Linked DNA regions of Alligator mississippiensis. The protein of the gene in region 2 interacts with the protein of the main gene of each other region in a pairwise test. Links are inferred from orthologs where the notes say so. Each region holds a gene or a part of one and is shown on either strand. Other genes may lie near its edges. The genes, in order: RAD54B, ATPAF2, SORBS2 and RPIA.

What was found.
Region 1: the proteins of ATPAF2 (region 2) and RAD54B interact in a two-hybrid assay, tested with the Homo sapiens proteins (2 studies listed by BioGRID). The two-hybrid records come from large-scale screens. The link is inferred for Alligator mississippiensis from reciprocal best matches to the Homo sapiens genes ATPAF2 and RAD54B.
Region 3: the proteins of ATPAF2 (region 2) and SORBS2 interact in binary tests that used the Homo sapiens proteins (3 or more experiments, as listed by UniProt). The two-hybrid records come from large-scale screens. The link is inferred for Alligator mississippiensis from reciprocal best matches to the Homo sapiens genes ATPAF2 and SORBS2.
Region 4: the proteins of ATPAF2 (region 2) and RPIA interact in binary tests that used the Homo sapiens proteins (3 or more experiments, as listed by UniProt). The two-hybrid records come from large-scale screens. The link is inferred for Alligator mississippiensis from reciprocal best matches to the Homo sapiens genes ATPAF2 and RPIA.

Annotation. Positions count from the first base shown.
Region 1 is NC_081826.1:43,509,975-43,517,608, reverse strand, and holds the start of RAD54B (DNA repair and recombination protein RAD54B), read right to left. Parts: upstream 2,940-7,634; 5' UTR 2,929-2,939; intron 2,899-2,928; exon of another isoform or gene 2,685-2,898; intron 1-2,684. Other genes in the region: RING finger protein 151, read left to right, coding at 2,940-3,128. UniProt on the Homo sapiens protein: Involved in DNA repair and mitotic recombination. May play an active role in recombination processes in concert with other members of the RAD52 epistasis group.
Region 2 is NC_081836.1:54,885,844-54,893,009, reverse strand, and holds the start of ATPAF2 (ATP synthase mitochondrial F1 complex assembly factor 2), read left to right. Parts: upstream 1-4,156; 5' UTR 4,157-4,214; coding exon 4,215-4,296; intron 4,297-4,375; coding exon 4,376-4,420; intron 4,421-4,515; coding exon 4,516-4,661; intron 4,662-5,396; coding exon 5,397-5,494; intron 5,495-6,256; coding exon 6,257-6,337; intron 6,338-6,655; coding exon 6,656-6,768; intron 6,769-7,166. Other genes in the region: GID4 (glucose-induced degradation protein 4 homolog), read right to left, coding at 842-949, 1,981-2,040, 3,743-3,931. UniProt on the Homo sapiens protein: Plays a role in the assembly of the F1 component of the mitochondrial ATP synthase (ATPase).
Region 3 is NC_081825.1:69,985,405-69,992,769, reverse strand, and holds the start of SORBS2 (sorbin and SH3 domain-containing protein 2), read right to left. Parts: upstream 3,009-7,365; 5' UTR 2,256-3,008; intron 703-2,255; exon of another isoform or gene 597-702; intron 1-596. UniProt on the Homo sapiens protein: Adapter protein that plays a role in the assembling of signaling complexes, being a link between ABL kinases and actin cytoskeleton. Can form complex with ABL1 and CBL, thus promoting ubiquitination and degradation of ABL1.
Region 4 is NC_081825.1:13,854,495-13,861,382, forward strand, and holds the start of RPIA (ribose-5-phosphate isomerase), read right to left. Parts: upstream 3,005-6,888; 5' UTR 2,968-3,004; coding exon 2,839-2,967; intron 2,758-2,838; exon of another isoform or gene 2,743-2,757; coding exon of another isoform or gene 2,671-2,742; intron 1,725-2,670; exon of another isoform or gene 1,702-1,724; coding exon of another isoform or gene 1,642-1,701; intron 1-1,641. UniProt on the Homo sapiens protein: Catalyzes the reversible conversion of ribose-5-phosphate to ribulose 5-phosphate and participates in the first step of the non-oxidative branch of the pentose phosphate pathway.

The DNA.
Region 1 (7,634 bases), on a different chromosome or scaffold from region 2:
GGGAGGCTGAGCACATGCATGATCTCAGTCTGGCGGGACTGAGTGCAACTGTCAGAGGCTCCATGTCCTGCCATTGGGTGGGCAGGGGGCAAGCCTCAGCCCAGTGGCGAGACACATGTGGCCTTGTGCCACTCCCAGAATAGCTGCAGTGGGGCTTGGAGTGCAAAGTCCAGTGTGCAACAGCAGCTGCCTCCACCCTGCATACAGATCGGGGAGGGCACGTATCCCCCAGGTGTCCACCGGGATGCATGTAGTGGCTGGAGCCTCCCCACCCCACACCTGGATAAGCCTCCTGGGCTCCAATTGTCCCACCACCCAGCCCAGGCAGGACCACACTCACCCCAGCACCTGCCCCTACCCCCCTCCCTCCCTCATTGCAGGGGCCTCGATTTGCTCCCCCCCACTTGCAGGGGGGAGAGGTGCGATAGATCCTAGGTTGCACTTTAATTCACAAAGGGATCTGGTACTTAAAAAGGTTGGAGACCACTGCTTTAGTGGTACCGCGCTTTTCCCACCCCCCCAGCGGTACCATATATCAGTACCACCATGCACGCCCTCCCCACCATTGCACTTCATGTCCCTCCCCATCACTGCACAGTGCCTCCTCCCTCCCCCACTACAGTGCATGCCTAAGCAGCCCTCTGCTGCTGCATCACTCCACTGCATGTGCCTCCCTCCACTACATCACACACCACTTCCCCCCCACTGCACCATGTGTCCAGGTACCCCCCATCCCCCCTCACTACTGAACGATAAGCCTTTTCACCTCACTGAACTGAGCAACACCACACTGCACCACACACTGCTCCCTAACTCCCCCCCCACCCACAACAACACCAGTGCCCAAGTGCCCTCACTCATCTTCAGCTCCCCAGCCACAGTCTCCCCTGCTGCATTTCACCTTAAGGCTCTTTCAGCAATGCAGGCTGTACCATGCTGCAGGAAGGAGAAGCTGGAGGGGAAAAGGAGCCCAGAGTCCCTGGCTGCTTCTGTAGCTGAAGCAATGGGAAAAGTGGTGGCCAGGTGGTAGCCCAGGGCCACAATGTAACCCCCCATGGACTGCATGAAGCCCACAGGTCACCAGCTGGAAAGTCCTGTTGTAGCCCAATAATAGGCAACATCCAAAATAGGCATAAATGCCATTTGAATTGCAATGACCCAAACCTGACCCACACACCTGGGTGGCAGTAAGTCCCACCTCTCAGCTTTCTGGTGAAATTGCAAAAGTCAATCTGGAAAGTTTGCCTTATAGACGACATGCACATTAGTTGTGAAAGAGAGATCCCAAAACTTCCATTCCAATGAAAGGCCCAAAAAGTTAACTTTCCTCCCAGGCTTCGCTTTGCTACCACAATAAGTTAGGACAAGGCTGTCAAAAAAGGCCTCTTCTGTGGCTGGAGGGCCTGAGTTGTGAGCTGCTAATGAAAAGGCTGGCAGTTCAAGTCTGGGTGTGGGCAAATAAGTGTAAGTCTCAATTTATTTCAGCAAGAGAAGGCTGAGAGGGGGAGCTGGTGACCATCTATAAACTTACTAGGAGGGACCAGAAGGGTTTGGGGGAGACCTTGTTTCCCCTAGTGCCCCCCAGGATAACAAGGAATAATGGCCACCAGTTGTTGGAGAGTAGGTTTAGATTAGACATTCATAGGAACTACTTCACAGTCAGGGCGGCTAGGATCTGGAACCAACTTCCAAGGGAAGTGGTGCTGGCTCCTACCCTGGGGGTCTTTAAGAAGAGGCTTGATGCCTACCTGGCTGGGGTCACTTGAACCCACTTTTCTTCCTGCCCAGGCAGGGGGTCGGACTTGAAGATCTACAAGGTCCCTTCCGACCCTACTTCTATGATTCTACGAAAGACACAGCCAATGGGCCAGATCTGACCTGTAGAGTCCGACACACAGGCAGCCCTGTGGGCTTGATGGTCTCCAATCCGCACTGCATGCAGCATGTACTAGCTTTAGACCCATGAGCTGCATGCAGTGCATGGAGCCCATCTAGCACAGACACCCCGGAATTAGGATTGTCCAGGATTGAAATTAAGCACACCATGAAATTAAGGGCCAAATTCAAATTAAGGGACGAATTTCCAATGAGGAACCACAGTCCTTAACTGACAATAAATGTGGACTGGTCAGAAAAGCACGCAGCACCAGTGTACAAAGCTGCTTCTTGCCAGTTCCTCAGACTGGCGTATCGGACTCATAAGAGGATCACAGGCCTTACACCCGCAGAGCAACAGTTAGCCCCCCTTGCTCTTAGAGGGGGCTATTGGGTACTCATCAGCTGAGCTCGGGGGAAGACGGCTCCACAGTCCCCAGGCCCGCCCCCCCCAGAGCCTGCTTCCTAAGCCCAGCGACCTGGGAAGCAGCATGGTTCTTCCTCGCCTTGTCCAAGCCAGCTGCATTGCTCCTACTGCAGCTGGCTGCACAGGCACTATCTGGGCTCGGCTGCGGCCGGGCCAGGAGCCACAAGAGCAAACCAAACACTTTTACCATCGCTGACCGTCCATGGTAAAGGGGTTGAAATGATCGTACAAACAGGATCATTATCGTACACTGGCAACACCGCCGCCAGCACGCGGCTCCCCGCCCCGGGGTGCTCCCTACACGGCCCGCTCGCGGCGGCCCCCGCGCCCGCGCCCGCGCCCCCGCCACACGCGCCCTCGCCCCGAGACGCCAAGCGCGCACTCAACCGTCCCGCCGCGCCTGCCGGCTCCCGTCAGCCACTCGACCCAAGGCGCATGCGCACCCGCCGCCAACGCAGCTCAAGGATCCCGCCAGCGCTACAAGTGATTCCTCTGCGCATGCGCTAACCCTCTCCCCACGCCGCTTCAAGGGGGCGAAGCTGTCTTCAGTGCTCGCCCCCGTGGACTTCCTCTCGCACTTCTGCTCTCGCTCTAGAATGGCAGAGTTTTGTCAGGGGCTTGTAAACCTGTATTGCGCATGCGCCTGCTGTTTCGGCCACTTCTAGCATGGCGGCTTGGCTGGGCTGTCGCTAGTGCTGCGTTCTGCCGTCAAGCAATACCAGCCGTAAAGGGCCCTGGCCCCTCTCTTTTGCGGCGGTGCCGGAATATCGAGCTGGATACCGTCTTCACTGCAAGCGGCTCCGGGCCGGGGCGGCGGCTGCGCCAGGTGGGTGCGGGGCGCGAGGCGCGATGGGCCGGCGCCACCCGGGCCCGGGCAGAGCAACAATGCGGACCCCCCCTTCCCTGGGTTGATCTGCTGCTCCGCTAGCTGTCCCTGCCTTGTGCTCCCTCCCCCAATCTGCCTCTCTGCTGTCTGCTCCCTGCCCTGTGCTCCCCACCCGAACTGCTGCTCGGCTTTCAGCTCCCTGGGGTGCCCTCTGCTCTGCTTCCCGATCTGCTGCTCTGCTCTCCGCTGCCTGCCCGTCCCCTCCCTGTCTGCCACTCTTAGGGGCTGCCCATGCCACTTGTGACACACATACTGCAGGTTGGTCACTCCAATGCAGGCAGAGAAGAGGGTGAGGGAATGCCAGCATGATAGGCCAGCAGCACGAGACAGAAAAGCCTGGGACCTTGCGCTGGCCTAGGAGAAAGGCAGACTCCACAGCTGCCACCTGGGCTCAGAGCTGGCTGCCTGCGCTGCTGAGACAGCGGCTCTTAGCGTCAAGCCACCCTTGGTGAGAGAGTTCAGGAGGAGCTGGGGACCTTGCACTCAGCAGAACTTCTGCATGAGAAGGTTCTCAGTAGCCAGGAGTTGCTGGTTATTGCTGTCCACTCCCGAGCCTGGTTAACACCAGCAATAGCTGCAGGAGAGCGTTGGCAGTGCATACAGCAAAGACGAGAGACAATTGAATAAGAAATATAGAATGTGCTCTTTACCTAAGCCGTACCAGCACAAGCCATACATAGAAAAGTAGCAACTATCTCCTTCCTCCGTCAGCACAGGCTTACAGTCTATAGGGCTATGTTGACTGAAAGAACAAACATACCTGCATGGCAAACAAGGCAGGAGGAAAGCTTAGAAAGGATTTAGCATCTCCAGGGTATTCCCAAATTGGGAAGAACTCTGGAGATGGTTTTCCTAAAAGCAGAGGAGAAGATAATTTTTCTGAGACCACAGAAATGGAGCAGTGGTCAGTAAGCGCTTGTTACTGTTTTTGGCATTTAGGGTTGGCACCTGCAGCTTCCAGACTGTCAGGGATACTGGTGTTGGCAATGATTCAGTTACTGCTGATCTTGAGGGCTTACAGAAAACAAATTTTCAGGGAGCTTATAGGCCTTAAATTGTGGGTAGATGATTGATAATGGGGGTGAACTTCAAGAAGCATGACATTTGCAGAGAAGATTGCAGCAGAGTGAAAGCTTTGAGTCAAGAGGAAGTTGTAGCCAAGGCACATTTAATGCTTTCCAGGGAAAATGTTGGAAGTTGAAACGCAAGTAAAGCATGTACTAATGGAAGGCGTATTCTTCAGCAGATAGTCTAAGGCAGCATTTCTCAACCCATGGGTTGCAACCCAAAAGTGGGTCGCAAGAATGTATGAAAGGATCACCAACAAACTTTAAAAATGGATTCTCCTTTAAAGGAGGAAAACATGGGGAACTGTGGGCTTTCCCTTGCAGGCTGGTGTTTACAAATGCATCCTGGTACAAAAACATTGAGAACCACTGGTCTAGGGGACTAAACAGGTTGGTCCCTACACACTACTCAGCCTCTGCCTGCTCCCTGGCCTTCCTTACTAGTCTGCAGCATCTGAGATCTGTCAACTCCAGTTGACCATGCCTTTGAGAATGCCTCCCTCATCACAGGGCTCCCAGCCAAAGCTAAACTGTAGGCAAGAGGACAGTGTGATTTGACCCCTCAAAGTATCAGACCATTTCTGTGGCCTCCCCTACCCACAGACTTTAAAGTTCTTTTAAGCATTTCTCCAAGTGCCCTTCACATGCAGCCTGATCTTTGCCCGCTGTTTGCTCTCTTTTTGCACTTTTTTAAAGTCAGATGTTCCTCCTCCTGCTCCCTCCCAAGTTGCACTGATAACTTGTTTATTGCCCAAGGTGTTTAAAGGCATAGTTACCTCCAGGTTTTCCCCTCCCTACATTTAATTTTTGCGCTTTCTGTTCATATTTAATGGAAAAATAAAGGTTGTGCTTCCCAATTAAAAACAGCTTGATTATTCATGCCATGGTATTTCAGCTTTCAAACTAGCCAAATAAGCCAAGAAGGTAAAGAAATCTGGACCCTCAAAGTAGCTGAAACATGTGAAGCAAGCAGCCCCTGTGCACGTGCTGCCTAAATCTCCTAGCTAGGGGTAAGCAAAATACAGCCTGCAGGCTGGGTTCTGGCCTGCCAAATAATACTATTAATCCCACGGCTGCTCCTCTGAAGGAGAATTGTATCAGGGCCACTTAGGGAGTTTTGGTGAGCTTTTGGGAGGGGGAGATGCTGAGCTCACCAAAACTCCCTAAGTGCCCCTCCAGCCCAGATAATTGTCCATCCCTGTCCTAAGCTAAAGTGTACACAGAGCACAGGTCCCGTATGGTTAAAGATGTTCCAGGCATGAACTGTCAAGTGAGCAGTATTTGTAAATCAGCAAAGCACATAGGAAATGGCATAGCAACCCCAGGAAACTGATAACACTGAAACTCCAAACCAGCCCAAATGTACTGTGTTCTGCTTACAGATTCATGGCTACAAAAGGGGCTCCCAAAAACTGAATCTCCAAGCTGGAGCCAGCAACCGCTGCATCAAACATTTAGGCCATGTGGGTCAAATAGGTACATAAAATGCCCCAGACAAGGTGTCTCTGTCTACTGCCATTCTGGAATAGGTGGCATAAGCTAATTGCTTAAGAGTTGGCCGCTTTTTACTAGTGCTGGGCCTGCACTTACAACATGGCCACCACTGCAGGCCACCAATCTGCCACTGTCCCAGATCTGCAAAGAACTGCTTTCTTGCTCCTGTAATGCAGCTTCTGCTGAAAAGTACGCCTCTGAAAACTGAGAAAACTTGTGGGGCAGATGTGGCCCACAGGTGTTGGCTGCCAATGCAAGCCTTAAACCATCATTCCTGTCTTTCTGTGCCAGAATTGGGTCTTGGAGCCTTGTGCTGTTTCAGCCCCGTTTTATAAGCTGGAATCAGGCCTCAGAGCCCCACCCAGCCCCTTGTGTCCAGTCTAGCATGCAAGGTTACAGCCTTGGGGCTACCCACACACCTGTGGAGAGCTCTGCAGGACAAATGACATTGCACTGGGGCCCAGATCTGCCCTGTGGGCCAAGGTTTGAACATGTGTGCTGTAAAACGTAGACTCCTGGCTACCCTTCAGGTATGTGGTCTGCTCTGCATAGCAGGAAATACCCGACATCGCAGAGGACTGGCTCTCTTCAGCCTGTGCGGAGATGCATACAAGCACAGCTGGAGTTCTCTAAAGAAACTGAGCTGCAGTTAGTCAGCATAAGGAGCCATCAGATTGCACCAGTTCTCTACCCATTTTTCATGTTTTTTGGGGCACCACAACAGAGAGGAGTTTGTGAGCTTGGCTCAAAACTCACAGCATAGGTCTACATGAGCAGTTCTCAACCTCATTAGACTCAAGGCACCCCTCAGACAATTCCAGCTTAGTTTTCACTTACTCTTCACTATAGAAAGATAACAGAGCAACTTTTTTGTTGCAAAGAACTCAGAGAGAACACAGCAGGTGAACATTCCTATTTGAAATTGCTAGGTTTATCTTGTGAATCATGTCTGCACATGTAACAGCAAATATGGTATGACACCCCATGAAAAGATGTCAAGACAACCTAGGGTGCCAGGGAACCCTGGTTGAGAATCACTGGTCTGCATAGGCAGCACTGTGTAGCAGTACCCAAGCTAGCTTAGTGGGCACTAGATTGCAAGCCAGAAGCCATCAGCCACATTCATGTAGTGCTGTACCCAAGCACTGCTGAGAAATGGAGCCAGTTAACCAGGTACAGCACCAAGGTATATTTTTTCCAGCTCAGGAATTAAGTAGGATACCTGCATGGTCTTGCCTTGCATTCTACATGCAAGTGATTCTCAACATCCTGGAGTGCCACATAGAGGTGCGCTGATACATTGGTCCAGATTGTATTGGCATTGGTAAAAGGAAAATTGACATCATCAGCAATCGGCTTTTTTTGGCCGATGCGGCTGATAATGTCACAGATAAATGTTACGTGTGTGTATGCAGCCGCAGCATGCACATGGCCAGGAGTGCAGCCCGGCAGCTTAGAGAGCAATGTCTGGCCAGTAAGTCTGTGGGTGGATAAGGGGCGCAGGGGAGAGAAGGAGCGTGGGGGAGCCGATCAAGGTTCTCATGGAGGGGGACAGAGGGAGGGAATGGAGCACGGGCAGGGACAAGTGCTGCCCAGCCAGGGTAAAGCAGGGTGCAGAACAAAAAGTCACAAGTGGTTTGTCCAGGAGGGCGGGGTCGCTTCTGCCGCTGCACACACACCAGGGGAGGCATGAGGGGCATGTGTCCCCCCTAGATTTGTGCATGGGACAAGGATGGGCTTCACGCTAGGGGCTGGGGGCTGCACCAACCTCTTCCTGGTGTGTGGGCTGGGCAGGGGCAGGGCATATGGTGGCAGTGGCACTGGGAGGGGGGCTATGGGGTGCTACAGTGAATTTTGGGGTGACTGTACCCCATCCCATAACCTC
Region 2 (7,166 bases):
CTTGTAGTGAATGATTGCAGGTAGAAACATACCAACTGACTGGAGAAACCCAGCATCCCGTCAGCCCTTCCTATAGGGACAAATGACATCAGGGCCCTGTATCACACCAGCACCATGCACCACTTCTGGGGAAACGGCTGCAGTCGCAGCTCGCAGGCGAGAGGCTGTAAACCACGCATCCCTCCCAGTCCATGCTGGGCGAAGGTAGCGAGGGATCCATGCGGCATCCCCGCTCTGTGCAGGGGCACCTCGCCCCTCCCAGGCCTGTGCTTGGCAGAACCCCCTCTGCCTGCCCCTCCCTGCAGTGGAACGTACTGTTGACAGCAGGTGCTCCACTGCGCCAAGCAGAGGGAGGAGGCACCCCCAAAGACCACACTCCCTCCAGGTGTGGGCCCATCTGCCAGAAGCCCATGCCACTCCTCCAGGCTGGCAGCATCTCTGAGCCCGCCAAGGCCTTTCCTCTGCTAATCAGAGGACCCCAAAGCTGCCGCTCCTCCAAGGGCTTGTTTGCCCTGGAGACTGTGGCACAGACTCAGCTACTCAGGTACTGCCAAACCAATGCCATCTGTTAGTGCCAAGAAAAGAGCTTCCTCCACCTGCAAACTGAACTGCACGAGTCACTGACACAAGGGGTCTGGTCTGGGGCAATGACAGTAGCAGCCAGGGAGCAAGGAGGCAGCAGAAAGCAAGGTGGAGCAACCCCCAAAACACTGTTTCAGGCCCTCTCTGGCCCCCAGGCACAACCCCGGCCCTTTTTAAAGTCTTGGCACATCCCCTTTGCCCACGAGGTGCATACAGGGCTGCTATGAGCCTCTCTGCAGCTTCCAGCATGCTCGCTTACCCAGTGCTTGCGGTCTACGTCCTCGTCCGCATCCCATTTCCGGGTCAGGAAGGGGTGCTTTTTGCTGATGATCTCCCCCTCAAAGAAGGTGGTGAGGGTTGGGTACTCCTAGAAGCAAGCACACACACACACACACACACACAGAGGGGACTGAAGGGCATTCGGAAGATCTTGCATCAGAAACACCAGAGATCTGCCTATGAGGAACCCATTCAGCAAATGCTTTCATCAGTACGATGCCATGTGGTCTGAGACACGGCTGCGATGCCCCCTCCTTGTGCTGAGCAAATCATCTTATGCTTCCCTGTATATTTGCACCAGCCCAGCCCTTCTCATCTCCTCCCCCAGCCACCTTTCCAGGCCTTTCCCCTGCTCCTGGAACATCCCAGAGCAATACTGAATCCAGAGGTCTGTTGTGTGCAAGCTCAGCAGACCCTAGAGCAGAGGCCAGCTGCTGCGTATCACCTGTTAGAGCAGGCAGCCTGCCCCTGGAGAAGCCTGTAACCAGCATTAGAACAGTATCGGATGACCAGAGCATTACCCCAGTCACCTTGCTGAACATCTACTGAAAACAGAAGCAGCTCCAAGATGCTGAGGGTGGAAAGGTGGAGGTCAAAGAAACTCCTACCTGTCTGTTTTTAATTTAAGCAACATAGAGATGCTCGTAGCGAGCTCACTGGTCACAGCACAGCACTCAAAGTGACATCAGGGACAAATTTGGACCCAAGTTTTCCACAAAGTTGGTTACACTCATCTCCCACAGCAATGCCGCCAAATGCAGGTGACTGCTCATTACACCAGCTTTGCTGCGGGTCAGCCGGCTGGACCTTTATCCCTCGACACCGAGGTGGTTGACTGCGTTAGTCTGGAGTGAAGGCAGGGTGGCACCTGAGAGCCTACCTAGTTCAGAGGCATGAGATTTTGTCAGCAACAACCTACTTCACCAGACATTTCATCAGACCAGTGCACTCCTAGCGTCTGGCAAATTAGGTTGCTGCTTAGGAAAGCTCAGGCCTCTTTGAATCAAGTAGTCTCCAAGGCCCAGCCCTGCCCTGCCCTGCTAGACCAGTGTCTAGAGACCTACTCCCTGCTTCCAGAAGGAGAAAAAGATTCCTAGTTCCTCTGCAGGAGGTGCTCACCTCTGTAAGGCCTTTGATCTTCAAGTATCCGCAGAGGTAGGAGTTCTCCATGTCCACGTGCTGGGGGAGAGAGCACAGAAACCGTTCGTGAGCCTATGTCCCCTCAGCACACGGCTCCGGAGGCTCAGCCAGGGCTGCACGGCTCAGCTTGGGTCGCGAGATCACACAGCGGTGAGCAACATGGAATGAATCACTTCCAGGGACCTCGCTCACCAGCCTTGACCAGACGACCATGGAACATCTTACCTGCTTCCAGCAAATTAGTAAGACCTTGGTCTGCCACCCAGGGATCAGAGAGGAAAAGGAGTCAGAAGTGATTCACTCGGCCCCAGTGCCTCAGAGACAGATCTCGGATGAGATCCTTGTCTCCTAAACCTGCTCCAGCCACATGCTACCAGTGGTTCAAAGAGACCAGAGGGGATGTCCTCAAGCAAGATCTGTCTCCACTTCCCCTGGCCCTGACCGCCAGCTTTGGCTTTGAAGTCAACTCTGTTAACACGTCATCTCTCCTCACTTCCGCAGCGTTCCCAACCTCTGCTCTTTACCCACCCAGACACCATGTCTGGCCCTTTACGAGCCTGTCCATCTGCGCTGCACACAACAGCCTTCTTGGGATCCTCTGCCTTCAGAAGCAGCCCTCGCGTACCCTCAAGTGCCTTACTCACAATCCCAATACTTTGCTTTCTCTCCTCTCTGTGACTGGGCTTACACCCGATTACCGAATCCACCTGCCACAGAGAAGCAAGGCACTGAGCTCTTCCATCACGAGCCCCGCGGTAGCTACAGAAACTTTTGCTCTGGACTCTCCAAATGACCAAGGGAAATCTCCAGGCACGTGGAAGAGTCTGGAAAACGCAGGCGTTGAATGGGAAGGAGGACCTTTCCCACACGGGACCTCTACAGATGGAACAGCTGCAGGTCTCACGGAGGACACGGGCAGACACACGAACATGGACGTGCACACGCGTGACACGAGGGTTAAAGCCGGGAGCCCCGGCAATCTTTGGGAGAAAAAGGGCCTGTAGTGAGGCCCATCCACCATGGGATGTCTCCACTGAAACGAGCGGGCTCAGGTACGCTCGTGCGGCTGACAAGCGCGGCGCGGTCAGCCAGGATCGACAGGGCGGTCCAAGCCCTCGGCAGGTCGGCTGACCTTGGGACTCGGACATTGCTCGACCGCCCTGCCCGGGCACCGGCCGCTCTCACGCACTCGCTGCAGGCGGCCGAGGGCCGGCCGTGCCTCCGCAGCCGGCTGGAAACAAAGCCACAGGCGGCCTCACGAGAGGATCGGATATCCAACGTGCTTCTTTCCACACGACCCCCCGGCTCGCCCGCGCTGCCCAAGGCCGTCGCGCCCGCGACTAAAAATAAAAGCCGGGCGGACGGTGACCCCGCAGAAGGCTGCGGGGACGAGGATCCCCTTGATCCGGCCGCGGCCGGCAGAGACCACGGTGCCCCCGGCTGGGCCTGGCCCGAGGAGCGCCCTGGGGACGCCCCGGCCCCCAGCCCCACTGGAGGCAAAGGGAGGGGGACCTAGCAGCCCCCCGCCCGCGCCGGCTTCAGCCCCCGGGCCCACTGCCCTGGGGCATCTCCCTGGGGGGCAGGGGGCAGACAGCAGAGCTGGGGCAGGCAGTGAGGGGCAGGTAGCGGGGGGGGTGCCCCCAGGAGTGGGGGGGGGGCAGATGACGGGAATGGGGCAGGCGGGGGGGGGAGTTAAAATGAAGCGAGGCTGACATGAAGGGGGGCCGCCCCCCGCGCGCACCTGCATGACGACCTCCACGTCGTAGGCGTTGCCCTTGCTGCGCTGCTGCCCGCGGAACTTGGCGCCGCTGTAGAGCAGCGAGGTGGCCACGCCGGGCTGCGCCGTGTTGATGGGCGGCGGCGGCACGAGGCTGGCGGCGGCCCCGCGCCCGGCGCCCCCCGCGCAGCAGCACTCGCTGCGCACCGGCATCGCCCCGGCCCCGCCCGCCGGCCCGGCCCGGCCCGGCCGCCCCGGCCACCCCGGCCCCGGCCCGCCGCTCGGCCTGGCGCCGCCGCGCGCTCCCATTGGCCCGCCGGCCCGTCACGTGGCGCCGGCGCGCCGCGGGGGCCGCCGGGACGCGTAGTTCCCCCGCCTCCACTCCCGGCGCGGGGACGGGGCGGCGCGAGGCACAAAGCGCGTTTGTGAGGCGGATTGGCCCCGCGGCGCGGCAAGATGGCGGCGCCCAGGGACGGCGCCTGAGCGGGCCGCGGGGATGTGGCGCGGCTGCCGGCGGCTGCTGCGGGCGCCGCTTCCTCCTCCTCCTCGCCCGGCGCGGGGCTACGCGCCGCCCGCAGGTGCCGGGGCAGGGGCAGGAGCCGGGTGGGTCGGGACGGGGCCTTGTCCCCGCTCTCACGGGCCCTTGTCTCCCTGCAGAGCGGAAGCGGTTCTACAAGCGCGTGGGCATCTCGCGGGGCGAAGGTGAGTGGGGCCGGGGGGAGGGTGAGCGGCCCCTTCCCCCGCCCGCCCTCCCTCCCTGCGGCCCCGCGGACCTCCCCCTCTGCCCGCCCGCCCAGGGGGCTTCGAAATCAACCTGGACCAGCGGAAGCTGAGGACCCCCCAGGCCAAGCTCTTCGCGGTGCCCAGCGAGGCCCTGGCCGTGGCCGTGGCAGCCGAGTGGGACGCCCAGCAGGACACCATCCAGCTCTACGCCATGCACCTGGTGAGCGCCGCGGCCGTCCCGTCCCGTCCCGGGACGCGCCTGCCACGACTGTTTTGCTGCCCCCGCGCGCGCAGATCACGGCTCGGTCTCTCCTCTGCCCCTTGCTAGGGGCCGTGGCCTCGTGAAATTCTCCGGCCTCCCTAACGAAGCCGAGGAGGGGATTCTTCCGCTCTGCTCGGCCTCCGTGAGGCCACAGCTGGAGCGCGGCATCCCGTCCCAGGCGCCGCGCTTCAAGGAGGACGTGGGAAAGCTTGAGAGAGTCCAAAGAGCCGCCCGCGAGATCGGAGACTTGCGCGGCAAGCCGTGCGAGGAGAGGCGGAGGGACCTGGGCCTCTTCAGCCTGGGAGAGAGAAGGCTAGGAGAGGACGTGGTAGCAGCTTATTGCTGCATTAGGGGAGTACATCAAGGGCTTGGTGAGCAACCCTTCACCAGGGCATCCTTGGGGAAAACCAGGGGTAATGACCATAAACTCCTGGAAGACTGTTTCAGGCTCAACATTAGGAAAAACTTTTTCACGGTTGGGGCGTCCGGACTGTGGAATAAGCTCCCTCCAGAGCTGGTGCAATCGCCTACCCTGGAAATCTTCAAGAGGAGACTGGTTGGTTTCCTTGCTGGGGTCGTCTGACCCCCCGTTGTCTTTCCTGCCGGGTGCAGGGCGCTGGACCCGATGATACTGCAAAGTCCCTTCCAGCCCCTTACATCTGTGAAACTCTGCTTCTTGCCTCTTGTCTGCAGACCACGCTCTGCAACACGGCTCTGGACAACCCAACCCAGCGGGACAAGACGCAGCTCATCCAAGCGGCTGTTAAGTTCCTGGAAACGGACACAATCTGGTAGGAGACCTGCCGGGTTTGCTGTTCGCTGGGGGAACACCTGGCCAGGCCAGGCCGGACCGGCTGTGGTGGGACTCGGGATCCCTTCCAAGAGGATCTATTCGAGCCAAGCCACCCTGCATTGTTTCTGCACCAACAGGCCTCTATCTCCTCCCCGCTCTGTGCCCCTGAGGAGCTCTCCCAGGCCTGCGCTTCTCCCCATGAGATGTTGCCGGTGGTCCTGAGTATCTGCTAGCGCGGCATTGCCTTTTTCCTTGTCTGCGCTTGGTGTTACCCTGCATTTGCCCTGAGCACTCCTTTACCTCAGCTGAGCCCGTATTCCTGCCCCTGAGCTCTGGGACTGCTGAGGGCTGGACCAGTCCTTGGCCTCTAGGCTAAACTCGGAGCAGAGACCTGCCTGAGCTGCTTTGGGGCTCCGAGGTGGCCTGATGGGTTTGTTCATGCTGGGGCCTGAGCTGGCTGCCTGACCTGTGAACGCTGTTCCACTGGAGCCCCACAAACATTGCTGGATTTACCACAGAGCAGAAGCAGGCTGCATCCCTTCCACGTGGTACCTGGGCTGGCAGGTAGCTGCGCCCGCAGGTGGCCCCTGTGGGGCCTGCAGCTTCTGCCAGTGTGGAACTGAGGGCAGCCCTGTGCTCCTTGCAAGCTGGCATCTCCTGCCAGCCCAGGAAGGGGCTTGCATTTCCAGGGGGGTTTTGCGGCACGTGGCATTAAGACAGCTGGTGGTTTGTCTGTGACGGTCGGTTCTGGTGGTCCTAGTTACAGGGTGGAGGAGCCAGCTACCCTGGTGGAGCTGCAGAGGAACCAGTGGGACCCCATGATCGAGTGGGCCGAGAAAAGGTAGGAAGCCAAAGGCTCTGTCTTTTCTGCAGTGTGCCTAAGGCGCTCATCCCTGCAATAGCTCAGATGAGCACTGGTGGCAGTGGGCCAGTGTGCTGTGTGTTCAGCTCGTCAGCCCTGAGAGGAGGGCATAGAGGGGTACTGAGGAGGCTTTGAAGGACAGAGGCTGGTCTTAATGGCTTCAGGTGCCCAGCAGCAAACAGGGAGGGGAGGATGGTGTCGCAAGACTTAGGATGCTGGGCTGGAGGGGGCATGCAGCGAGCCCAGCCTGCCACAGCAGTGGGGTTCCTGATGCCAGCATACATCCAACTCTTCCAGGTATAACGTGACGATCGGCTCGTCGACCAGCATCACTGGGCCCACCATCCCTGTGAGCACCAGAGAGACCTTCAGCAGCCACTTGGCCTCGTACAACATGTGGGCGCTGCAAGGTAAAGGGAGCAGCTTCTCCATCTGTCTGTCCTTCCAGGCATCAGCCCACAGGGAAAACGTTCCCTCCCCCAGAGGCAAATGACAAGCCAGTTAAGCAGAGGAGGGTGCTTTCGATCAACAGGGTGGAGAAGGAGACATCCCACCTCAAACTTTCTTCCACTGCCTCTGGGCAGGGCCTGTCTAGGCCTGGCACAGGGGTCCCTGTGAACTTAAATTGCAGCGTGTTACACCCTGTTAGTAGAGAAGGGGAATTCCCTGGGTCTGAGCTATCCCAAATGCATAGGTATCTCCTTTAGCTCACAAAGGCGACCCACCATCATATGGCAGCCTGGCTGTCCTGGCCATGTGCTGCTGCCCCAGTTCCAGAGAACAAGCCCAAGCCCACCTCCTTGCCCAA
Region 3 (7,365 bases), on a different chromosome or scaffold from region 2:
ACATAAAATTTGGCTTACATAGCATTTCTTCAATTGGTTTTTTTTCCTCCTACACTCATTTAAAATTCTTCTTGAAAACCTAACTATTCAACAGCATCTACAAGACACTTAAAGTCATCTGTTTATCTATCTGTGAACTGCTCATGTATGTGGTGAAGAGGAATGAAGGTCAGCAACGAAGGATGTTAAGAGCACTAGAAGCAAAGCTGGGAATTGGCATGAGCAGAGAGGCAAGGAAAAGTAGTAAAAAAAAAACCTAACAAAATACAGAACTCACTATGTCTATCATTTTTTCATATAAGCACCTTTCATTTTTGCTTGTATGAGATATCCTTACAGCCACCCTTATTTTTTCTTAGTATTTTGCCTGTACTTCTTGACGGTAGGACCCCAGTCTACCTGTGACTTAAAAGTGCGTTATGTTTTGGATTTTATTGCTTATGAACACTTAGCATGTCCATTATAAAGTAGAAGTTCAAATTGTCTTTAGTGGTTTATATGAAGAATGTTAATGCATTTTTCAAGTTTTAGCTCCACCCATTCTTTTTGTAGCAGAAGTTAATCACACCCACACACAATTACACACATTTACAATGCTATGTACATGTTTATAGCACTTCATAGAACACACATAAGGTCTTGTACTGCACCAACAAACTTACCTGCACAACACCTACCAGGCTAAATATGGAAACAGAACAGGTAAGAGATGAAGCCTAAGGGAGGATGACTGGTAAGGAAATCAGCAGACCTGATTCAGGGAAGATATGGTTTTCTGAGGGAGTGATTTGAAGAAGGAAGCTAAAGCAATTTCTGGTCCTATGCCAGGGATTTCAAACATAAAGTCATATTTTCTGTGCACTGGCTCAACATGTTCACTTTATGGTGCATATATTAAAAAAAACCCAATTAGAAATGGTCTTGGACTTTGCCTCTCAGTTACAGTACCATTTATAAAATAGTGATTGGTTACTAGTTTAACAATGTAATTAAGGAGTGGGGCTTTTACTGATTAATCAAATGCCCATTCTATAGTCCAAGCATACAAGTTAGCTCAGTGGGATTTAAACCTACACAACGGTGAATTAAAAGTGAATGCAAACATATTATTAGCATAGCTTGCAAGAAATGAATTTGAATTTCTGTTTAAATTTTAATTGTCCGTGTATAGAATTTAAAGCATTTCAGCTTTTCATTATTTTATTAAGTTAGAAATTATGTTATTCTGTAAAAGCATTCTTAACAACTCTGGGCTGAAATGCCATTATTTAACATATTTTAAAGATTATCTGATCATTGGCTGCACCAATGCGCTGTGGTTTTATTGACCTAGTTCTGTCCTCATAACTGCTCTCTGTTTCTGAGATTCTTTATCAGGATATGTATCATGTGTGCATCAAGGGACAATTCATTTGGGAACTGATGGTCCATATTATTAGCACATAGCCATTCACCAGAAACACCATGTTCAAATATTTCTGTGCATTTGTCTAAGCCTTTTTATTGTCTGTCTCTTAGTGGACTGGCTGCTGGTGAGGGTGCTTAAGAATAGAAGTTTAGCTGTCTTAAACTATAGCTGGTGCTTTTTCTCCATGTGGAGTGCTGGCTTCCTTTCTTTTACTCAATGCCAAACTGAGGGACACAATGGGTGTGTTGTGCTCTGTGCTAGCATGGTATGCACGATATCTTTGAAAAGGAGGTGTGAGCTGCCTTTAATACCTAGACTCCTAACAGACAAGTACCAGAAACTAATCAAACACAGTGCTGGGGCATACATTCCATAAAGAAAGCCTAGTGCAAAAGCTGCTTTCTATTATGACCTACATACTGCACACAGCAGTTGGACAATTTAAATCTAGCTACATTATTAAGATGGAGAACAATGCATGTATTTGAATGCTGAGAGAATCAAGGATTTTAAGGTTTTACAAACAAAATGTTTCTCAGTTCTATAATGTTTGATATCCCATGTAATCCTTACAATATAAAATCATAGCAGGATGCATAAAATCCCTGTTGTGTATACATGAAATGTGCATAAGATTTGTTCACTACCCATTTTTTTTCTCAAAACAGGAAGCATTTTGACTGTTACATTATGCTACTGCACTCAAATAAACCATAATATGATCAAAATCATTAAATGCAAGCTTTAACAAGTCACTTTTAATAGGAATACATTTGAGATGCTACTTTGAGCAAAACTTCATGCAAGTATTTTCTATAAAATTGAAACCAATCAAACAAAAGCTTACCTCTTTCACACAAGCAGAGATGCACAGCAGCCTCCTGGTCTAAGTCCAGAAGCAGAAGCTCCTAAGCCAACAATCTGTTAATAAGAAGCATGTAAACCTGAGAGGGTGGTTTGTACAGCCGACAATACAGAGCCTATCTGAATCGCACACCTGCTTCTCCAGTGGTGCTTGCTCATATAAAACACCAGAGCACAAGAACAATGTTGGGAGAGGGCAACACCCTTCTTTTGGGTCACCAGCTTTCACTCGGAGCAGCTCGCGAGTGGTTGAGATAACATTGCAGGGAAACCTTGCCTTTACAAGACAAAAAACCTACTCCCCAGCCTGACAGCAGATATGCAGCATTATCACTCTGCATTCCACCTTCCCTGATCAGCTAATGGGAATGAGCCGTCACCAGCTTGTCAAAATGGCAGCGTGTAGGCATTCTCAGCTATAGTAATTATTCCCTCATCTTCTCCTCTGTTTCCTCTGAATAGATTTTTTGTTTATTCCATGGTAAAGCACAGCATAATATGTCACACTGTTTTCCATAAGCAAAATGGCTGATCCTTTCAGCAATGCTGCAGACAGTTCATTGGGTTCCACTAGCTTTTTGTAGCCATGGCAACAACCAACAGACAGACTTATCCAGAAAGCATGGCTGATCATGTGCAGATCCCCAACACAGAATGCTAATTTATGGGGATTTTTTTTCCCCATTTTATTTTGGCCAGCCACAATTTCTGATTTCTGAATATTCTGTCCATGTGAAGAATGGCCTGTTTTTAGATACTTCTCATTTTTCCTCTTCCCTTTTGGGGTTATATATGGAAATCCTACTGTATATAATCTAGACTAAAAGAGACAATACACAACAAGTTATAAACAGGCCTGGATTTTTGATGCACAAAATTTATGCATGAAGGAAATCTGATAAATCAGGCAAAGTAATATGTCATTAGAACAAGCAATCTTTTTTTAATTTAATTTTGAAATGGAACCGATAATCCACAATCACTGGTTAGCAAATTCAACATTAATCAGCACTTACCAACCATAACCTAGAAAACCTTTTACTTTTTATTTTTACTTTTTTTGTAAAAAAAATAAAATAAAATAAAATAAATTCTCATGGATTTCTCTTCTATATATGTAAAATTGGGTGCTCCTTCTTACTAGGAAAATATAAAGGAATTAAACTAACCATTGCTCTCAAGATACCACAGCACTGTCATACACTTAGAACAGAATATAACTGATTGTTTTACTTTCTCCATTCCTCAGTTTTCTGCATTTAAAATGAGTTTGGGACGGGGGAAGACATGTGTGAAAAAAATGAGATCAGCATATAAAAAGTGGTGTATAAAGGCTAGGTATCAACGTCTCTGCTACAATTTCTGGTACTTATAAGCTTTTTATTGGAATCCATTGCATATAAAGCACCTCTTCCTCTTAAAGCTCCCTGAAAACTAATTAAAAACCATATAAACTTCTACATTACATACCATACCTCCTACATCACTACATACATTTGCATTCCAAACATTCAAGCTATCTAATTTGAACCTGTAGAACAGTTTGTAGCAGTAGCAAATTCAGCTTATTGATAGCTGAAAACTGCTGTTGAGCCAACAAGTGAATAATACTGGGAGAGGACATTGGAGAGGTATTGCTGCATTCTTATCAGGCATTTTGCCTGAAGATGGCGACTTTAAATCTCTTTTTATTTTTGAGAGATACCAAGACTGCTCAGAATTTGTAATTCATTATGTCATTTGCCATATTTATGCCATGGACTGTTAGGACTATACCAAGTAGCTTCAGGCCTACTGGCAGTCTAAAGAGTGTCAGTAATGCCAACTCTCATGAAAAAATCATGAGACTCCTGATTTCCAAGTCAAATTAACTCTGACTCATGATCTCCTGATACAGAGATCAAATCTCAGGATTTTTTCTTCTGGCACGTGTATAGAGCGCTAAGCTGGTAAGTCTATGGATCGGAAGGGGCAGGGGCATGGGGGGAGGGGGGCAGATCGAGGCTTCTATGGTGAAGGAGGGAGTGGGGCAGGCTCTGGGGTGAATGGGGCCCCGAGGGGGTGGCTCTGTGTGTGTGTGTGTGTGTGTGTGTGTCCCTCACTTCTAAGCCACAGCCCCCCCCCCCCAACCCTGCTGCTGACCCTCATTCCAGAACCCCAGTACCCTGCATCCTGCCAGGGTGTGCAGGGACCCCCCTCTCCAGGCTCCAAACCCCACACGCACACCCACAGCCCCCCACACCTTCACAAATAATGGCCCTCCTATACACACACACTTGAAAAATAGCATCTCATGATTTACATTCAAAATCTCTTGATTTTTACGAGTTTGTCTCATGATTTTTGACACAGTGGGGTTGGCAATACTGAGTGCTCTTACAGGATACCGTTAAACCATGAAACATTAGGTGGTCTTAAAGTCAGAACAGCTTCAGAGTAGTCTCAAATTAATGCTTAACGTCATCTCCGACCAGAGGAACTGTTACTTGGCACTAGAGGGCCTAGAGAGCAGGGGCATGACCAGGAGCCAGGCTTCTATCCCTCCCTTGGGAGTGAAGCCCCAGGGGTTAACCACAGAGACAGATGGACCCCAGGGAAGCATACCTCACCAGGCTCTATGCTCTACCATGTTTTGTGCTAGGCAGCCCTTTCTTCCCTCCCACCCCAGGAATGCAGGAGGCTGGAGAGGGAAGCCATGTCCCCCTTGCCCAAATTCTCCTGGCTAGAGGACAGCTGTCCAGATGTGGGGAAAAGGCTTAGCCCTATCAGGGGACAACATATGCCTGGCTCCTGGCCCACAGGCCTGGATTGGGTCTCCTGGGGTCCTTGGATTTGGCAGTGTGGTGCTATGTAGGGGTGGGTGGGGGTGCTGGGGCCATTACTACCCCTTGGGCAGTAGAACTAGGAAGGGTGGACAATTTGTTAGGGATAAAGAGGCTCGGAGCCCTGCATCCTAGGATGCTGGATGACTGGAAATTGGTCACTTTATCTCTGTGGAGCAGAACAATACCCTAGATCCAGTTAGGTAGAACAGCTCAAAGATAACCCTCACCCTTAGTTACTTAGATGGTACTTGGCACAGTTGAACACCCTTTGATGCATGCACACTCCTATTTAAGTGCTTTTAGAATGGTTTAGACTTCAGAGGTAACCTGAAACACCACCCTCACTTGCAAATAGTTTCTGCTGCTGCACTTCCCATGTCACTGAGGACCACAGCTAGGAAGCCGGCAAAGGAATCTGAGCAGGGAATTTGTCCCAATGTTTGATTGTTTGTTTTTAGATCAAAATACACAGTGTATCGTTTGTAGACTAAAAATATCCATCTGGAGTTTGGACTACAGACTATAGGGGAATAGTTGTCTTGCGAATGTCATACCCTGCAGTTTGTGCTTTGCTTGTATGACTTGCACCCACATTTTGTGTTCACAGGGAATTCTGACATCAGTTCTGAAACATATTCAAACACCTTTGAGTAAGGGCCTTAAATCAAATATCATTCACTATATTTCTAATATAAGTGCTGGTTTGAGTTTTTATTTTCTCCTTTTAAGAAAACAAAACAAAACAAAATCAAGATGGCTTTCCTGATACTTATTGCCAGTATATTACCTAAGATACTGCAGCTGTTGCTTAGTGCCAACCTCACTTAATATGAACAGCTCTATAACTCAAACACAGATCTTTGATGCCATAACTACTGTCCAGTACTGCTCCTTTTTGATCAGAAAGGCAGGTAGTTTGCTGATTTTGCAACTGATTTGGACTTGTTGGCAAGGAGATTTTGAAGTATTTTAGTAATTATTTATAAATATGCTAAACATCACAGCACAATTTGCTATAGTGCCATTGCAGTAAGATTAATTCAGTTACTTTTGCTTAATCAAACATTATGCATATATTAGATCCATTTCTCATTTCATGGGTGTTTTACATTGATGCACCCCACTGAGTTTGTAAAAATTAGATTTAGCTTATTGATAACAAAGCAAATTAAATTAAAATTAGGGTTGTCCATCTACCCCAAATGCATTAATTCATTGGCCTATTAGACAATTACTAGCACATTCAACTTCCTCTATACAGGACTCAATGTTAATACTTAAAACAACTAACCACACAAATTCCTCTGATCTCATACCCAGGTTCATGGATATCTTGACATAGAATGGAAGAACAACAATTTTACAAAAAAAAATTATTCTTGGTGTTAGAAAATGAATTATACCAGTGGAGTTCCATATAGGTAATGAGTATGGATCTAATCCTATTTGCCTTATCTAGGCATGGCTCCAATTAAAAAAAAATGGCATGAGTTTTTCCTGTATAGGTCTAGACCAAAACATGGTATGTGCTTTTCATCAACTGTTGGCATAAATACTGAGGTGAAAGGTATGGTAAGGGGTTCAGTATAAGAGCTGAATATGGTGCTACTCCAGCAAAGAATCTAAGCACAAAGGGCAAGGTCTTTACTCTTCTCAGGCTCCTTTATACTTTGTGAAGTGCCACAGTGGGATAGAGAAACCTTAAACACTTTCAAAACGATCCTGGGAGGATTTCCTTGTGCAAGCCCAGTGGAACTGTTGATAAAAGCTGATTCCCAAAGGACCTCTTTTGAGCCCAAGGATTGAGGACATACAGGACAAACAGAGTTAACATGCAGTCTGCAGCCCATAGTTACAGCAATATCTGCAGGCTCCTATCAAGCCTAGCAACCCCAGTCTGTCTAAATAACAGCAGGTGTTTCTCCAGTTAGTTACTTAAGCAGGCCTGGATCAGGAAGCTGCAATAACAGCTTAAAACCTCATAGGCCCATGCTTGCCCTAATATGTTAAATTGGGCTGTCCTGATTAGAAGCGCAGCACAGACTTGCACTCTAAGTAGTTAGTCACAGTAGTGATTTCAGTGGGATTACTTATGTGCTTAGAGTTAAGCAAATACTTACATACTGGCTTACAATGGGATCTGGAATAGTATTGATATTGTTTCAGATCTTGGCTAAAATCCCATTAATGTGTGAATTTCGAATGAGCCTCCTGGTCTGCTGTAGTCTCTAGAGAACATTTGTCCATATCAAAAGCTACCAGAGTTTG
Region 4 (6,888 bases), on a different chromosome or scaffold from region 2:
ACACTTGTGGGTACTCCACGTTCATGCAGGCTTGCTCTTAAACCAGGGGTGGGCAAAATGCAGCCCAGGGGGGCTGGATGCGGCCCACCAGGTCATTCTATCTGGCCCATGGGGTCCCTAAAAAATACAGAAAATTAATATTAATCTGCCCTGGGCTGCCTGTCATGCAGCCCTCGATGGCTTGCCGAAACTCAATAAGCGGCCCTCCGCCCGAAATAATTGCCCACCCCTGTCTTAAACAGTCCACTGTTCAACATTGAGTTTTTCTAAAGCATCTCCTAAAACCAGCAACTCAGTTTACTGGTGAGAGCAGTTCACTGCTTCCTTGGAAAACTTGAACGGAGGCATCTTTTCCCTCACCCCCGCCGCAGAAACACTGCAGGTCTTCCAGATGCCCATTATTTTGCAGGAGAATCAGTCTATGCACAGGAGGAGGTTCAAACAAGCACCCCATGAAAGAAGCCTACTTTTCAAGGAAGCCACATGGTAAAGCACCGCTTCCAGGAACAATATTGTTAGTGAACAGCACTGTAGCAGTAACTCTGCTATCCAAAGCAAAAACTGCAAGAGCACTCCCTGGAGGATAACAGCAGATCAAAAGAAAAACCTGCTTGCTCTGTAGAAAATACGGTGCACCCTGGGCCCTTCTCATGCACTTAAAATGCATGAGTCTTGCATCACAAGCCATGTTTAAACGGTTCCAAAGCCTTCCGCTTCCAAGGGTGGGAGCCTGCTCAGGACAACGATTAACACACAGCGTGCTATCCACACTGTGGTCGGGCACACACGTATATGTGATAACAAGCTGGAAGGAAGGAAGGACTTACTGCATGTTAACTGCTCCACAGTAACTAGTTCATGTGTCTACTCTATTCCTAAGTAAGTCGAAGTTAAACTGCAGGAATTTAGTAGCTGTTTCACGTGCTCTTTCTATCCCATGGTAAGTAAAACTATAAACCAGGACAGTATACCCCTAAATTAAACAACTGACACATGGCAAATCTCTCCCCCATCTCAATACAATATCATTTGTTGCTTGATTCAGACTTTTAATGCAGAAACGTATTAATTAAATGTGCAGTGAACGGGCACTGCTACGTCACAACCACGACCCACAATGCTGTATTCTTTGCAGTGTAGAGACACTTTACTAGGTAGCTAAACTTGATGAGAATTAACTCTGGCTCATGCATACATACACCTGCACATTTTGTACATAAGCAAATTCCTTGGTGAAAATACAAAGCTTAAATTCACTTAAGAAGCAAAGCATTACCAAAAAAAAACAAAAACAAAATCACAAGATGTTAAAGTTTAATCTTGGCCTTATAGGTTCATTCCTTGCATACAATTTAATGTACATGCATTATTTAATGTAATAGCAAGGTTCTCTGCTGTTAAATGGTGCATCAAGCTGCCCTGCTGTGCCCAATGATCCAACCAAAGCTGGCAGGGACTGCGTGGAGCTGCCTTCAGTCTGCTCTTTTCCAGGCAGAACAACACAGACCTGGTTGGGAAGGCAGAGGGGCCAGCAGAGCACACCCCCAAGGAGTTAAAAGTTTAACTTGTCAGTAATGCCAGTAAGGAAGTTTTTGTTAAACTTTCTGAACATGGCATAAGACTGGGGCCTGCCAACTTTACCTTGGGATCCTGCTTCCCCACCGAGATCCACCTCGGGAGAAGCCCAGGCCAGCGGATCATACCTGGATATTTATTCCCTGTGGTCCCAGGGACAGCACAGCAAAATGAACACAGCCACGTCTCACTTTGCCAAGCGCAGCCAACGCACAAGAAAGCCACGCGCCTCCAAAGGGAGGACAAGGTTAAAGTCAGAAAGAAGAACAAACCGACAAGGAGACACAGGGAGAGGCTTTTTTTGACCTCAGATGTTATCTCCGCATTTGGTAACAGACTGCTACAGAGAAAAAGGTCTTGCATCCACCCCCCTCCACCGCACAAGGATGAAGGGAGCTGCAACAATTCAGGCAAGAAGGCCTGTTTAGATATGATCTAGATTAGGACTAAGTCCTCCCCGCTGAAGAAGTGTCTGACAGTGAGAAAACTAGCATGCATTACCCAGCTCAATGTAAAATCGCAGTGGAGACCAGGCTGAAGCATTTAACTGAGGGCCTGGACAAGCACACCAATGGTAGCACGCCAGACAGGCCTGCAGCTATCCCAGGGAGAGCTGGCGCAGCAGGCAGCTGTTACTGCGCCGCACCCCTAGGAAGCAGGGGAGCGAGTACCAGCCTTTTAGTATCAGGTAAAATTACCCTGGGATGGACATGGACAGACACAGCCGACAGCGGTGTAACTTCTAGGCATGCTCATATTAGCACCAGGGGGCCCCAAACTCAAGCTGGGACCTCCAGGTACTCGCAGGATAAAACGAACCCCAACAAGCATGCATGAGAAGAGAGGCCAAAGCGTGTGGATGAGTTCGGGGAGTCTTCTGGCTGCTGGGCCAACATCCAGAGACACACGACACTGAGCTGAACGACGAATTGGAGGCGATATTCCCTGACACCAGCTCCTGCGCAGCGGTGAGCTGAACCCCTTCACTGACGGACGTTTGCAGAGCATTGAAGCAACAAATATTACGCGAGGCTACGGCCTGCCCGCAGACGCAGCCGGGCTCCGGACTCTCCCCCGGCCTGACACTGCACGCACCTCCCGGACACCGCACGCACCTCCCGACTGGGCAGGTTTCCCCCTGCAGAGGCCCAAGCTGAAGCAATGCATGTTGCTAGCAGGATGCACGCTTGGCCAGGGGTCGCTGAGCCGCAGGTCAGCCAGGAGAGACGGGGCGCGGGTTCGAGTCCCCCCGGGGGCGCTCACCTGCACGTGCCCGTCCACGGCCGCGCGGGCCGCCTGCCTCTTCGCCGTCTCGGCCATGCCGCCGGGCAGGGCGGCTCCCCGGGCCGCCAGCGTCCTGCAGAGGCTGCCGATCCACGCCCCGGGCCGCATACCGGAGCCGCCCGGCCGGCCGTCCGGCTGCGCGCCGAGCCCGCCTGGGAGTTGTAGTGCAGCCGGCGGCGGGGACTACATCTCCCGCCATGCAGCGCGGCTGCTCGCGCCCGGCCGCCCCGCAGCGGTGCGCGCACCAGGTGCAATCCGGACGCGGGGTGTGGGTCGGGGGTGCAGCGTGCAGCCGTGGGTCTTGGGGTGAATCTGATCTCTCTTATTGCACCAACTTAAATTCAATTAAACTAGAACTCTTGGTTCCAAAGTGATACTTTTGATTAGACCAACTGGAAAATGGATCATTTTTGAGGCATTGAATTGATGCACCACAGGCAAAACCCCAAGTCGCTCTCAGAAAGTTTGAACTGACGGCTGGGTTTGCTGCCAGCACTCTGCTAGGATGCCTCACCTCCAAATAAACACTTCAGTTTTGATGACCCAGCTCTCACTCTTTCACTGACGTCTTAACAGCGAGCAATACAAAGTAAAGACGATTTATTTGCAGGCTTCTCTGCATATTTTTTTCACTGGACAATCGTTTTTTCAGCAAGTGCAATCATTTTGAGCCAATATGATACTGTAATTTCATATTTAAGACCTGGCAATGCAGCTGATGCTTGCCCGCCAGGCATGGGCAAGGGCATGTGGGTGCGCCTGGCAGGACAGGATCCGTGTGGGGCATGGCTGGGAGCTGCGGTGCCTTGCCCCAGGGGGTCCCCGGCACTCAGTGCCCTCCCAGTGAGGATGAAGCCCTCTCTTGGCAGGGTAGGAGCCCCTGCGTGTCAAGAGCGTGGCATAGCCTAGCTCGCTCCTGCAGCCATACAGCTGAATGCAAGCAAAACTCAGGGGCATCTGAACCCCAAGCCTTTGGGCTTGGGCCTGCGCGTAGGATGCCTGCCGAATGATTTGGAGGGTTGTAGATTGGAAACATTTGAAGCCCCAGTTTGGGTGGAGGATGTTTGCCAGTAGCAAGGCCACATAAGCTTCTTGAATGACTCACGGATTTGGAATTGATTTTGCCGATTTGTCTTGGAACATGAAAAATTATCCTTTAAAAAATAAATAAATAAAGCATGGCATAGGAGGTGCTAGGGGTAAAGACATCCCCTCACCTTTGCAGGAGGTGCGGGCAAGCCTGGCTCTGACACCCGACAGGATTCACATGGCCACGGCTGGCAGACGTCAGGTGCTGCTGCTCACCTGTCGCTAGATGCCAAGGACAGGCCATAATGCACAACTGCAGTGCCTCTCACTGGCCCCTGCCCAGCTCTGGAAAGGATGGAAATGCCTCTGTGCTCAGTCACCCCTCGCGCCAAATTCCCCCATGGTTTCCGCAGCCAGCTCAAAGCACTCCTCCGTTCCACACCCCCTGCCAGCTTTACCATCTCTCTACCCAACAACCGCCCCCAACCCCCCCATGTCCCCATTTTTGCCTTTTGTGCTGTCCCTCCTCACCCTTTTGCTACTGGGGAGTGACAGCCTCACCCTCTGTGACTTCTGAAAAGTCTCGTCTGCTTCCAGCAGCTCTCCAAATCTCAGCCCTGTGTAACCATTAACTCATGCAGAAGTGGGGCTGGAGGGGACCTCAGGAGGTCATCTAGTCCAGCCCGCTGCTCAACCATCCCTAACTAGACCATCCCAGCCAACGACTGCTTTTAAATACTTCCAAGGATGAGAGTCCACGCTCTCCAGGGGGATGCTTAACCACCCTCGTAGAAGCTTCTTAACGTCCAACCTGAACTTCCCCTGTCGCAAGAGCATTGTTCCTTTTTTTTTTTTTTTTTTTTGGAAAAGGAAGATGTATTTGATCCCTGGAGCAAGTTCCAGCCCAGCTGGGCCATTCACACTCCTGCTTCTCACTTCTCACAATCAGGCAATGAGCAGCACATGGCTCCTCCAAACAGGAGGAGACCAGACAGGTAAATGACCCGGACAGAAATGCATGTTCCGCATGATCTGCAGGGAAAGGTGGCTTTGGGGCTAGGGCACAATGCCACCTAGTCTGGACTCATGGGTCCTGTTTCCATTGTTCCTTGTCCCGTTTCTTGTGGCTACAGAGAATAGCCTCTCTCCTTCTTCTTTACAACCACCCTTCGGGTACTTGAAGACTATCAGGTCCTCTCTCAGTCTTCTCTCCTCCAGACTAAATAAGCCTAGTTCTTTCAGCCTTTCCTCATAAATCATGCTTCCCAGGCCTGTAGTCATTTTTGTTGCCCTCCACTGGACTCTATCTAGTCTGTTTGCATATTTCTTAAAGGGCGATGCCCAAAAACAGACACACTGCTCCAGACAAGGCCTCAACATCTGTGCTTATAGCTATTAACACCTATTTTGTTGCTTGCAGAATACTATATGAGGCCATAAGGTATTAATCTAGCTTTCTGGCCTCCTCTACCCCCAGTTTTTATATGCCACCCAGGCCAGGTCGCATTTCAGAGGCAGGCTTAATATCACTGCTATTAAGCCCCTTGCTAATTACTGGTCTCACCCCTTTACTTTTTCATGTATTGCCTTTTTTTAAGGATAAAGTCAAAGTATATATTTAATTAAGTTGACTTTCTCCCTGCTGCATAGCTGTTTTGCCTGCCATCCTCCAGCACAGCCACGTCACTGGGATATTCCAGGATCACTTCACATGGAAGAGCCATGTTAACCAGCCCAGTGCTTCCAGCAGTCCCAGAACTGGTGATAGTTTGTTCACCAGTGAGCTGCACCTCTTGTACTGAGGTGGAGTTTTAGCCTTGATTTTAATGGGGTCCTGGTATGAACCCTTTCTGTTTCAATATAGGGTAAGACTATAGACAGTCTCTTAAAGAAAAGCACTTTCTTGCAAATATTAGCCTGAGAATCAGCTGCAGGCGATAAGGAGCTGATTGCTTACATATGAGCTGTGATGCCCTTGCTTGTACAGCCAGCTCGCCCTAGGCAGCTGGGGAATTCAGGGTTCAACCTCCAACAGTTCCTTCAGCAGACTGCAGAGAAGCCTCGACACTTCAAGTCCTTTTATGCCCTGCACCAAACTGCATCAGTAGTTTTCCCACTAGTTCCTTCCAGGTAACACCCCCCTCCCCCCCCCCCAAGCTTCAAGTGTAACCCCGTAGCAGCTTTTAGCTCAGCCACTTTAAAATGGCACCTGTTCAATCCCAAACCCAGGGCAGCCTAACAAGTCACTTGTTGCATAGATTAAACCACTAATGCTAAAATCAGTTAGCTGAAGTAGACTGCACAGTCCCAACGGCAAAGTATGACTTTACAGGACAGAGCCAGCCTGCATGGGATGAAGCACAAGGGGACATGAAGCAAAGTGTCATGGGGATGAAATACAGAGCTCCCCAGGAGAGGACACAGGGACAAAAACATGGCACAGGCAAAGAGGGACAGAGCTGTCAGAGACTCTCATTAAACAGAGAAAGGAGCAAAGCCAAGACCCAGACATGAGACATCCTGCATGACCGGATTCAACACGAGAGACAGGAGAGAACGGGGAACGGGGAATCATCGCGTTATGTCAGTGTAAATTGTTTCGAGCGGCCGGAGCCGACCCGAGGATCGGTAGTTTAATCGGACGTCAGGCGGGCCAGCAATGGAGAGGCGAGACAGCTTATTGGTTTTAAAAGATTGTTTTTACTTACGCCACGTAGAATGGCAGCACAGGCCTCGAAGTAGCTTGCTTGCGTTGTCACGGATAGCAAAACGAGTGATGAGTTAACGAGTTTACGAATGAAAAGGAACCTGCAGGATAGCGGGGTACATCAAAAGGACCCAGTGACGGGGAGATATTGGTGGGTGATCAGTCCGCCAAGTTTCCTCGATCGCGCTACAGAGTTCTCCGTGGTTACTCTGCCGCGTGCTCAGAGGTCTCCGACTTGGGCGGAAGTTGCATGAACTTTTATATGTCCAGAGTAGCCAATAATGGACTGAATA